3 linked regions of the Saccharomyces cerevisiae S288C genome follow. The gene in region 1 interacts genetically with each later gene. Each region holds a gene or a part of one and is shown in the gene's direction. Other genes may lie near its edges.

What was found. Genes that interact genetically often act in the same process or in processes that back each other up.
Region 2: of SOD1 (region 1) and JAC1, a mutation in one rescues a mutant of the other (synthetic rescue), as found in Saccharomyces cerevisiae (2 studies listed by BioGRID).
Region 3: of SOD1 (region 1) and TKL1, extra expression of one rescues a mutant of the other (dosage rescue), as found in Saccharomyces cerevisiae (3 studies listed by BioGRID, with this or other methods).

The regions. Positions count from the first base shown.
Region 1 is NC_001142.9:621,612-625,202, reverse strand, and holds SOD1 (superoxide dismutase SOD1), read left to right. Parts: upstream 1-2,188; coding exon 2,189-2,653; downstream 2,654-3,591. Other genes in the region: ECM27 (Ecm27p), read right to left, coding at 1-365; ADO1 (adenosine kinase), read right to left, coding at 600-1,622; CTP synthase URA8, read right to left, coding at 2,713-3,591. UniProt on the Saccharomyces cerevisiae protein: Destroys radicals which are normally produced within the cells and which are toxic to biological systems.
Region 2 is NC_001139.9:458,610-461,352, reverse strand, and holds JAC1 (J-type chaperone JAC1), read left to right. Parts: upstream 1-1,688; coding exon 1,689-2,243; downstream 2,244-2,743. Other genes in the region: ATE1 (arginyltransferase), read right to left, coding at 1-1,499; casein kinase 2 regulatory subunit CKB1, read right to left, coding at 2,361-2,743. UniProt on the Saccharomyces cerevisiae protein: Co-chaperone required for the assembly of iron-sulfur (Fe/S) clusters in mitochondria. Stimulates the ATPase activity of its specialized Hsp70 chaperone partner SSQ1, to mediate the transfer of iron-sulfur clusters from ISU1 to GRX5.
Region 3 is NC_001148.4:692,296-696,399, reverse strand, and holds TKL1 (transketolase TKL1), read left to right. Parts: upstream 1-1,561; coding exon 1,562-3,604; downstream 3,605-4,104. Other genes in the region: OPY2 (Opy2p), read left to right, coding at 1-663; tyrosine protein phosphatase LTP1, read left to right, coding at 3,982-4,104. UniProt on the Saccharomyces cerevisiae protein: Catalyzes the transfer of a two-carbon ketol group from a ketose donor to an aldose acceptor, via a covalent intermediate with the cofactor thiamine pyrophosphate.

The DNA.
Region 1 (3,591 bases):
GCGCCAAGCACCTCACCAATTGATAGCGATACTGAGGTTGACCTTGTTTCTCTCGTAGAGGTTGCCCAGCTCATTAAGTTGGAAAATAGGTCAGGCGAAGAGTTACACCAAGATAGTAGAACTGCCATTAATGCCCCAGTATGAGATGCATGGGACGCCGTTTTTGAGACTAAAGAACCATTCGATCGAAGGCTGTTGGGATCTGATATATGGGCCACGTTGGGGCAAAGAAAATCGGATGCACATATTCCTAATAACACGAAAGCAATAATGATATGAAATAAGCTCGGCACAATAAACGTTACTGAAAGTTTAGGATCCTTGTAAAGTAATCGTGGATGGGCGACATTGATTGCCCAGTCCATATTATTGTGTTATTGTTGCTTGTGTACGGCCGTATGTGGAGAGGATGAACGAGTATTTTGTTCTTAGCGCTGCTTGTCCTTTTTTCTTGAAGCTGTACTTTATAGCGCCTCTTTTCCTTATTGTGGTAACGGTGGCTTATTTGGTTTAAGAACAAGCGGTAAACATGTCTACGAATGAAAAGCTAGAGGGAACACGTAGAGTATATTTTATTTCTATTATATTGTAAGAAGAATCTATTTAGAGTAAGATATTTTTTCGGAAGGGTAAGAGGGACCAACTTCTTGAATAGACAAAGCAGCTAGCCATTGACCCATGTCAATAGAGGTTTCCAAATCTTCACCTTTAGTCAACCCAGCCATAAAGCCACCAGCGAAGGCGTCACCAGCACCGTTGGTGTCGACGATCTTAGAAGAGTCCAAAGGTTTGACTGGATATGTGCTGGTACCCTTGGAGGACACGACCACTGTTGGTTCGACACCGTGGGTGAAGATGACAGTCTTTTCAACTGGAGAGTCCTTGACAATTCTTTGAGCAATAGCTTCCAAATCAGTGTTGGCACAGTCTAATTGGAAGGCGTCGCAAAAGGCTTCGGCCTCCGATTCGTTAGCGATGATGACGGTAGCATAAGGCAAAACTCTGGCCAATGCGTCTTTGAAGACATGAGGAATGAAAGGAGCACTAAAGTTCAACACGAAAGGTTTGCTGTTCTCTTTAGCATGTTGGCCCAACTTAACGATAGCGTCTGGAGACACGGTCAAGTGGAAACCACCGATGTAGAAGAGCTTAGCTGCTTCGACCAAGTCCCAATGCTTGTCCAAGTGGTCTGGAGTAAAGAAATTGGCAGCACCCAAGTCAGTGACCAAGGACCGGTTATGGCCAGTGATTAATGCGGCACACTTACCGGTACCAATATCATTTTGAACTTGGTACATAGACTTGACACCAGCTTTTTCGTTTTCGTTAAGCAATCTCTCGCTGAACTTGTCCTTACCGACGGAACCGAAGTACACCACCTGGCCGGCGCCCAAAACGTATGCTGCCCCTCTAGCAGTGTTTTGAGCAGCACCACCTGCAACAAGCTTTGTTTCTGGCATCTGTAAGAGCTCGTCAAAAATAGCCATCTTAGCATCGCCTGATTTGGCATCGACCAAAATTGCGTCGTTTTCCTTTAGAGAATACTTGGCCAGGTATTCAGCCGTGACGTCGGCTTGGAAATCTAAAAGTGGGTTACCCAATACTACCAATGGTGCGGTCATAATTGCTTGCTCTTTCTTTTGCTGTTATCTTTGGTTCTACCCTGCACAAGATAAACTGAGATGACTACCTAATTAGACATGGCATGCCTATAAGTAAAGAGAATTGGGCTCGAAGAATAATTTTCAAGCCTGCCCTCATCACGTACGACGACACTGCGACTCATCCATGTGAAAATTATCGGCATCTGCAAAAAAAGTTTCAACTTCCACAGGTAATATTGGCATGATGCGAAATTGGACGTAAGTATCTCTGAAGTGCAGCCGATTGGGCGTGCGACTCACCCACTCAGGACATGATCTCAGTAGCGGGTTCGATAAGGCGATGACAGCGCAAATGCCGCTTACTGGAAGTACAGAACCCGCTCCCTTAGGGGCACCCACCCCAGCACGCCGGGGGGTTAAACCGGTGTGTCGGAATTAGTAAGCGGACATCCCTTCCGCTGGGCTCGCCATCGCAGATATATATATAAGAAGATGGTTTTGGGCAAATGTTTAGCTGTAACTATGTTGCGGAAAAACAGGCAAGAAAGCAATCGCGCAAACAAATAAAACATAATTAATTTATAATGGTTCAAGCAGTCGCAGTGTTAAAGGGTGATGCCGGTGTCTCTGGTGTTGTCAAGTTCGAACAGGCTTCCGAATCCGAGCCAACCACTGTCTCTTACGAGATCGCTGGTAACAGTCCTAACGCAGAACGTGGGTTCCACATTCATGAGTTTGGAGATGCCACCAATGGTTGTGTCTCTGCTGGTCCTCACTTCAATCCTTTCAAGAAGACACATGGTGCTCCAACTGACGAAGTCAGACATGTCGGTGACATGGGTAACGTAAAGACGGACGAAAATGGTGTGGCCAAGGGCTCCTTCAAGGACTCTTTGATCAAGCTTATCGGTCCTACCTCCGTTGTAGGCAGAAGCGTCGTTATCCACGCCGGCCAAGATGACTTAGGTAAGGGTGACACTGAAGAATCTTTGAAGACTGGTAATGCCGGTCCAAGACCAGCCTGTGGTGTCATTGGTCTAACCAACTAATGTTAATGATAATATACTTGAATAAAAACCGTATGTAAGTAAGTAGTAAGCGCATCAATTCATTCATTTTCATTTCCCTCGCTTAGATTTATGTCCTTGATCACTTCACCAAGTGTGCCGGAGGCTGCGGCCACAAGCCCCCAAAACGGTCTTGATGGTTCCAGCACCTTCGATGTATACTCTGGATGGTATTGAGTGCCCACGTAGTATGGATGGCCTTTCAATTCGAATATTTCGCAACGCTGGCCCGTCTCGTCCTTACCAACAAAAATAAAGCCACGAGACTCCATATCATTCACTATTTTCGGGTTTATCTCATAGCGATGACGATGTCTCTCATGCACCTCATTAACTTCACCATAAAGCTTCCTTATGTTGCTCCATTCTGAGTTCGGTTGGAAAATGGTAGGCCTCAAACCCAATCTCATCGTGCCACCCATGTGTTCCTTGTCGATCTCGGGCATGTATATGACTACTTGGTCTTCAGGAGCTAGTAGTGTCTCGTCCAAAAATTCTGTAGAACTGCTGTTTGGGCGGCCTATCACATTGCGGGCGAACTCGATAGCGGCAACTTGTAATCCAAGACAGACACCAAGAAAGGGAACACCGGATTCACGGGCCCATTTGGCAGCAAGAATCATACCTTCAATACCTCTCGTGCCAAATCCACCAGGAACCAAAATTCCGTCGGCGGAACTGAGCTTATTCCATGAATCGTGGAACTTGTTCTTGTCCACCTCTTGAGTTTCGGGCTCTAGGTTACTTGCCTCTACCCAGAGGATTTCTAGCTGACGACGGCACTTCATGCTTGCGTGTTCTAAGGATTTGGTCACAGATAGGTAGGAATCCTTCAAATTAGTGTATTTTCCCACAAGAGCAATCTTGACAACATCATCAGAATCATCTAGGTTTTTGGTCATGTTTTCCCAGTTAGTCAA
Region 2 (2,743 bases), on another chromosome or scaffold:
CTATATAAAATGACGGCTTTCATACAAGTTTCGAAGCCAAATAACCGTATCACGTCACAAATACGTTTCTTGACATTCGGAGGTTCGCTATAAAAGTTAATTAATGGTCGAATCCCCTCCGTTTCGATTTCGAAGAGAAATAGTCTTCCCTCCAGGTCAGTGATCTTGCCAGATTGCATAATGTCCAGCAATTCCCATAGCGGGAGTAATCCCGGCACCACATTAGGAATACCATTTGGAGCATGGCCATTGTGTTCTTTCAAATGGTAGATGGTATCTAAATCTTCCTCTTCGTACGGTATACCGTAAAGTTCTTTCAATTCCAATGCAGATTCATTTGCAGATTTAAACGCACACCCTCCCACACCGTATATTTCCTCAGCAATATTCTTGTACTTGACAACATTATCAGTGGGAAATCCCTCCCCTCTTCCGGTTTCAGAGTCAACGAGGTAGAGCTCCTTAGTAACTTTCGTCTCTTCTTCACCTATGACAAAGAGTTTGCCCCTAGAAATCATATCCTGAATGGGTTTCAATGGGATATATTTACTGTGACACACATCCAGTACTTCCGCACCATAGTTTGCTTTATAATTCATCTTCGGACAGTCCTCAATATAGTACCCCAGGTAATAGTATTGCAGATTTGTCCTTTGAATGATGGCAAGATCGCGCAAAGCACTGAGCTTCCCTAGGGACCATTTACTGTAGTCTGGATCCCAAATAAAATATACCGAAGATATACCACTGGGCAAGATATCTGACACAGTGATGGCAATTAATTTACCCTCATAGTAGTAGCATTCGTGCACAGGACCCATATGCTTCAGTTTCTCGCCTGGCTTCATTCGCTGCCAATTGTTTAACTGCTCCCATGATTCTTGTGTCCCCAACACCGCTTCAGGGCCAAAGGGCGTATCACATAGGAATCGCTTAAAGGACTTCGGCGAATTATTGTAGTCTTGATGCACTTTTTCCTGATATTTGACAAATAAGTGATACTTTTCTTCACTATAAAGTGCAGGCTCAAATCGGGTATAGAATGTTTTAGAATTCATCTCTGCATTAACAATTTTGCCCACAAAATCACTGCTTGCAACAGCGGCTGGGCAGTAGTCCTCACTTGTTATTCTAGTAGCAAAGCGGCTGATGCATTTTTTCAATTCCTTTGTCATATTCAATTCTTGAGGGGCAGTTCGAATGGTGTATAACCTACAACAATTCCTCAACGGGTCCACTTTATAAAGAAACTTACCAGACCTTCTAAATCCCATATTACACATGCGATCATACGTGGCTACATCCATATGTTCCACGAAAGAGCCAATTGTGCAGTTTTCAATCTTTACAACGTCCATTTTGTTCATATAACGATGAGCCCACGAATCCAATGCGAACAACTGATCCATGTTGCCCCCCTTATTACCGTGACAATACCCACACTTTGCGGCAGGTTCATTGTGCATCGAGGGAGCCCAAATAACGAATCTATCGGACATAATTGTGCTTCTTCTCAGTTGTATCTTGAGACTATCTTGTCTTTTGTAACAATAGCAATGAAACTCACAGCGTAATTCTTAACAATAGGTAAAAAAAAAACGAAAAAGAAAAGGAAACTAAAAAGATGATGCGAAATTAAAGGCTGAGGCTGATAATGGAAACAGGTATCAAGAAGCCCCACAAGCACAATGTTGAAATACTTGGTTCAACGAAGATTCACTTCTACATTTTACGAGCTGTTCCCAAAGACCTTCCCCAAAAAGCTACCCATTTGGACTATCGATCAATCCAGATTAAGGAAGGAGTATAGGCAATTACAAGCACAGCACCATCCAGACATGGCCCAACAAGGTAGTGAACAGTCATCAACTCTTAATCAAGCTTACCATACTCTCAAAGATCCCCTTAGAAGGTCACAATATATGCTAAAACTCTTGCGCAATATCGATTTGACGCAAGAACAGACCTCAAATGAAGTAACTACCAGTGATCCACAGTTACTATTGAAAGTTCTAGACATCCATGATGAATTATCCCAGATGGACGACGAAGCTGGTGTGAAGCTGCTTGAAAAGCAAAACAAGGAAAGAATTCAAGATATTGAAGCCCAGTTGGGACAATGCTACAATGACAAGGATTACGCCGCCGCAGTGAAGTTGACCGTGGAGCTAAAGTACTGGTACAACTTGGCCAAGGCATTCAAAGACTGGGCTCCAGGAAAACAATTGGAAATGAATCACTAAAGTACTCCAAAGTGGTAATAGTAATAATAATAATAGTGGTGATATAAAAACTGAAACAATGTAAATAGGTAAAGTACATATGTATATGGTAGGGCAAAGAGGAAAATAAATCAAGGGTTAAACCGCCGGTGTCTCGAACTCGCATTTGGCAAATTCTTCCCAGTCCTCCTCCGTGGATGGATATTGTCTCAACCACTTCATTCTAGGACCAGATACTGCCTCATCATTTATCCTGAACCCAAAAACTTTCAACTCGTAGGACTCTTTACTTTTCCTTTCCACATACTCTTCCAATTCTTTGAAATGTTTCAAGAACACACCAGGGAAGCTTGTCCCCCAAAATGCACCTTCTAAGCACAGGAATCTAGATGATTGGGGAAGATACAAGTCCTGACAACTGGGACAGTACAACCTTACGGTGTGTTTCCCAACTGTATCGCTCAACCCACAAGGCAGCAACTGCATGCCATTACAATAGTAACGGGGGCACGTTCCAAATT
Region 3 (4,104 bases), on another chromosome or scaffold:
AATGAAGAGGAATACTTCGACGATGAAGACGATGATGATGAAGACGATGAGGATGATGGCGGTATGAGAAAAGATGAAAGTCACACCCTGTTCAATACGTCACTGGTACCTCCAACTCTCAACGTGCCGGGAAACAGAAGTTCAGCATCTACCACTCGTACAAGGGCTTCTAATATTTTGCCTATTGCCTACATTCCTGGTGTGACAAGCGGTTTGAGTACCGACAAACTGCAATCAAAACTACGCTCGAGCTCTAAGAGACAAAATGCAGCTGGTGATATCAGGTCACATATAACCTTAGGTTCTTCCATCTTGGATGGTCTGGATGACGAAGATGACGAGCATAACCAGGTACTCAATAAGGACGCAGACGATAACCTCATAACTGCTATTCGTGCTAAACCTAAACTGGTTCAAATCGCAGAGGAAGAGAGTGATAAGGAGATTCAGGACTTGGATGTCATTGAAGAACAGACAGAGGCGGATGATCTTTCACACATGGCAAAAAGCGAGGCAAGCCATGGTAATAACGACGAAGATGACGATGAAGAAGGAAGTTTTATACTGGACTTGGAAATTCCAGAATCGATACGCGAGAGCACCCAGGGCAGTCGCACTGAGAGCCCGTTTGAGGACAAGTTCGAAATACACGATGAACGATAAATAAAAGGCGTGTCAGTATTCTGCAATCCCGGGGAAAATATTATATCATATCAATATTCAATGATCTACGTCTATATAGTTACGTGTATACGCCGTAATAAGCGCTTTTTTTTTTTTTTTAATTTTCTGACTACTGTTCAGCCATCAAGGTATGTCTAAATTAATAATATTCAGCATTTTCAACGTGCGCTTACCATCTGCTAATACACAGCTCCTCTGAAAGTTTCTTGGCCGAATGTCATAATTTTCGAACCAAATATAAAAATTCATACACATTAAAACAAGATGTGCTTACAAAGCGGATAAGTTCCGCAGCAGCCAAAGCTGCATTGAGACATTTTTCGCATACACATCACTTCTCTGGGGAATGAAGCATCCGAAAACGCCAACGGGACTAAAATACAGCAAACTTGCATTTTGGTCATTTATGGTTAGCAAGTTTAAGTGCTACTACATTACATATTACCTGACCCTGAAAACGGGCTTAAAAGCCCATCTACTATAGTGCCGCTGCGGGTAACCGTAGCTTCTTGCTTTTTTTCCCACCGTCATTTATTTTCTAGTCTTCTTTCCGAGAAATGCCGGCGGCGTTTGCCGTTCCGTTCGCAATCTCTCGAGAAGTTCGAGAGATGAAAAATTTTCTTGGGAAAGCCAAGAAGGTACGATCGTAGGCATGATTCATATATAAACTCTTTCCCAATCTTTTTGGTTACGTACATACTCCCCCCTGATCTTTTACCTACATACTTGATCGTGACTTCTTGATTCATTCATTTCTTGTTCTCACCGTTGTCTTCCTTTTAAATTTCGTTTTTTAAGTTTCAGATCAAACTGAAGTACAACAGAGAAGGAAGCTCATCCCAAGCAACTCTACATAGTTACCTCTTTAGCAAACAAAATGACTCAATTCACTGACATTGATAAGCTAGCCGTCTCCACCATAAGAATTTTGGCTGTGGACACCGTATCCAAGGCCAACTCAGGTCACCCAGGTGCTCCATTGGGTATGGCACCAGCTGCACACGTTCTATGGAGTCAAATGCGCATGAACCCAACCAACCCAGACTGGATCAACAGAGATAGATTTGTCTTGTCTAACGGTCACGCGGTCGCTTTGTTGTATTCTATGCTACATTTGACTGGTTACGATCTGTCTATTGAAGACTTGAAACAGTTCAGACAGTTGGGTTCCAGAACACCAGGTCATCCTGAATTTGAGTTGCCAGGTGTTGAAGTTACTACCGGTCCATTAGGTCAAGGTATCTCCAACGCTGTTGGTATGGCCATGGCTCAAGCTAACCTGGCTGCCACTTACAACAAGCCGGGCTTTACCTTGTCTGACAACTACACCTATGTTTTCTTGGGTGACGGTTGTTTGCAAGAAGGTATTTCTTCAGAAGCTTCCTCCTTGGCTGGTCATTTGAAATTGGGTAACTTGATTGCCATCTACGATGACAACAAGATCACTATCGATGGTGCTACCAGTATCTCATTCGATGAAGATGTTGCTAAGAGATACGAAGCCTACGGTTGGGAAGTTTTGTACGTAGAAAATGGTAACGAAGATCTAGCCGGTATTGCCAAGGCTATTGCTCAAGCTAAGTTATCCAAGGACAAACCAACTTTGATCAAAATGACCACAACCATTGGTTACGGTTCCTTGCATGCCGGCTCTCACTCTGTGCACGGTGCCCCATTGAAAGCAGATGATGTTAAACAACTAAAGAGCAAATTCGGTTTCAACCCAGACAAGTCCTTTGTTGTTCCACAAGAAGTTTACGACCACTACCAAAAGACAATTTTAAAGCCAGGTGTCGAAGCCAACAACAAGTGGAACAAGTTGTTCAGCGAATACCAAAAGAAATTCCCAGAATTAGGTGCTGAATTGGCTAGAAGATTGAGCGGCCAACTACCCGCAAATTGGGAATCTAAGTTGCCAACTTACACCGCCAAGGACTCTGCCGTGGCCACTAGAAAATTATCAGAAACTGTTCTTGAGGATGTTTACAATCAATTGCCAGAGTTGATTGGTGGTTCTGCCGATTTAACACCTTCTAACTTGACCAGATGGAAGGAAGCCCTTGACTTCCAACCTCCTTCTTCCGGTTCAGGTAACTACTCTGGTAGATACATTAGGTACGGTATTAGAGAACACGCTATGGGTGCCATAATGAACGGTATTTCAGCTTTCGGTGCCAACTACAAACCATACGGTGGTACTTTCTTGAACTTCGTTTCTTATGCTGCTGGTGCCGTTAGATTGTCCGCTTTGTCTGGCCACCCAGTTATTTGGGTTGCTACACATGACTCTATCGGTGTCGGTGAAGATGGTCCAACACATCAACCTATTGAAACTTTAGCACACTTCAGATCCCTACCAAACATTCAAGTTTGGAGACCAGCTGATGGTAACGAAGTTTCTGCCGCCTACAAGAACTCTTTAGAATCCAAGCATACTCCAAGTATCATTGCTTTGTCCAGACAAAACTTGCCACAATTGGAAGGTAGCTCTATTGAAAGCGCTTCTAAGGGTGGTTACGTACTACAAGATGTTGCTAACCCAGATATTATTTTAGTGGCTACTGGTTCCGAAGTGTCTTTGAGTGTTGAAGCTGCTAAGACTTTGGCCGCAAAGAACATCAAGGCTCGTGTTGTTTCTCTACCAGATTTCTTCACTTTTGACAAACAACCCCTAGAATACAGACTATCAGTCTTACCAGACAACGTTCCAATCATGTCTGTTGAAGTTTTGGCTACCACATGTTGGGGCAAATACGCTCATCAATCCTTCGGTATTGACAGATTTGGTGCCTCCGGTAAGGCACCAGAAGTCTTCAAGTTCTTCGGTTTCACCCCAGAAGGTGTTGCTGAAAGAGCTCAAAAGACCATTGCATTCTATAAGGGTGACAAGCTAATTTCTCCTTTGAAAAAAGCTTTCTAAATTCTGATCGTAGATCATCAGATTTGATATGATATTATTTGTGAAAAAATGAAATAAAACTTTATACAACTTAAATACAACTTTTTTTATAAACGATTAAGCAAAAAAATAGTTTCAAACTTTTAACAATATTCCAAACACTCAGTCCTTTTCCTTCTTATATTATAGGTGTACGTATTATAGAAAAATTTCAATGATTACTTTTTCTTTCTTTTTCCTTGTACCAGCACATGGCCGAGCTTGAATGTTAAACCCTTCGAGAGAATCACACCATTCAAGTATAAAGCCAATAAAGAATATAACTCCTAAAAGGCTAATTGAAACCCTGTGATTTTTGATAAGCGATAGAAAACTGAGAAGGGAAAGTTAACACGAAAATGACAATTGAAAAACCAAAAATATCGGTCGCATTCATTTGTTTGGGTAACTTCTGTAGATCACCAATGGCGGAAGCCATTTTCAAACATGAAGTCGAAAAGGCTAATCTAGAAAATCGATTC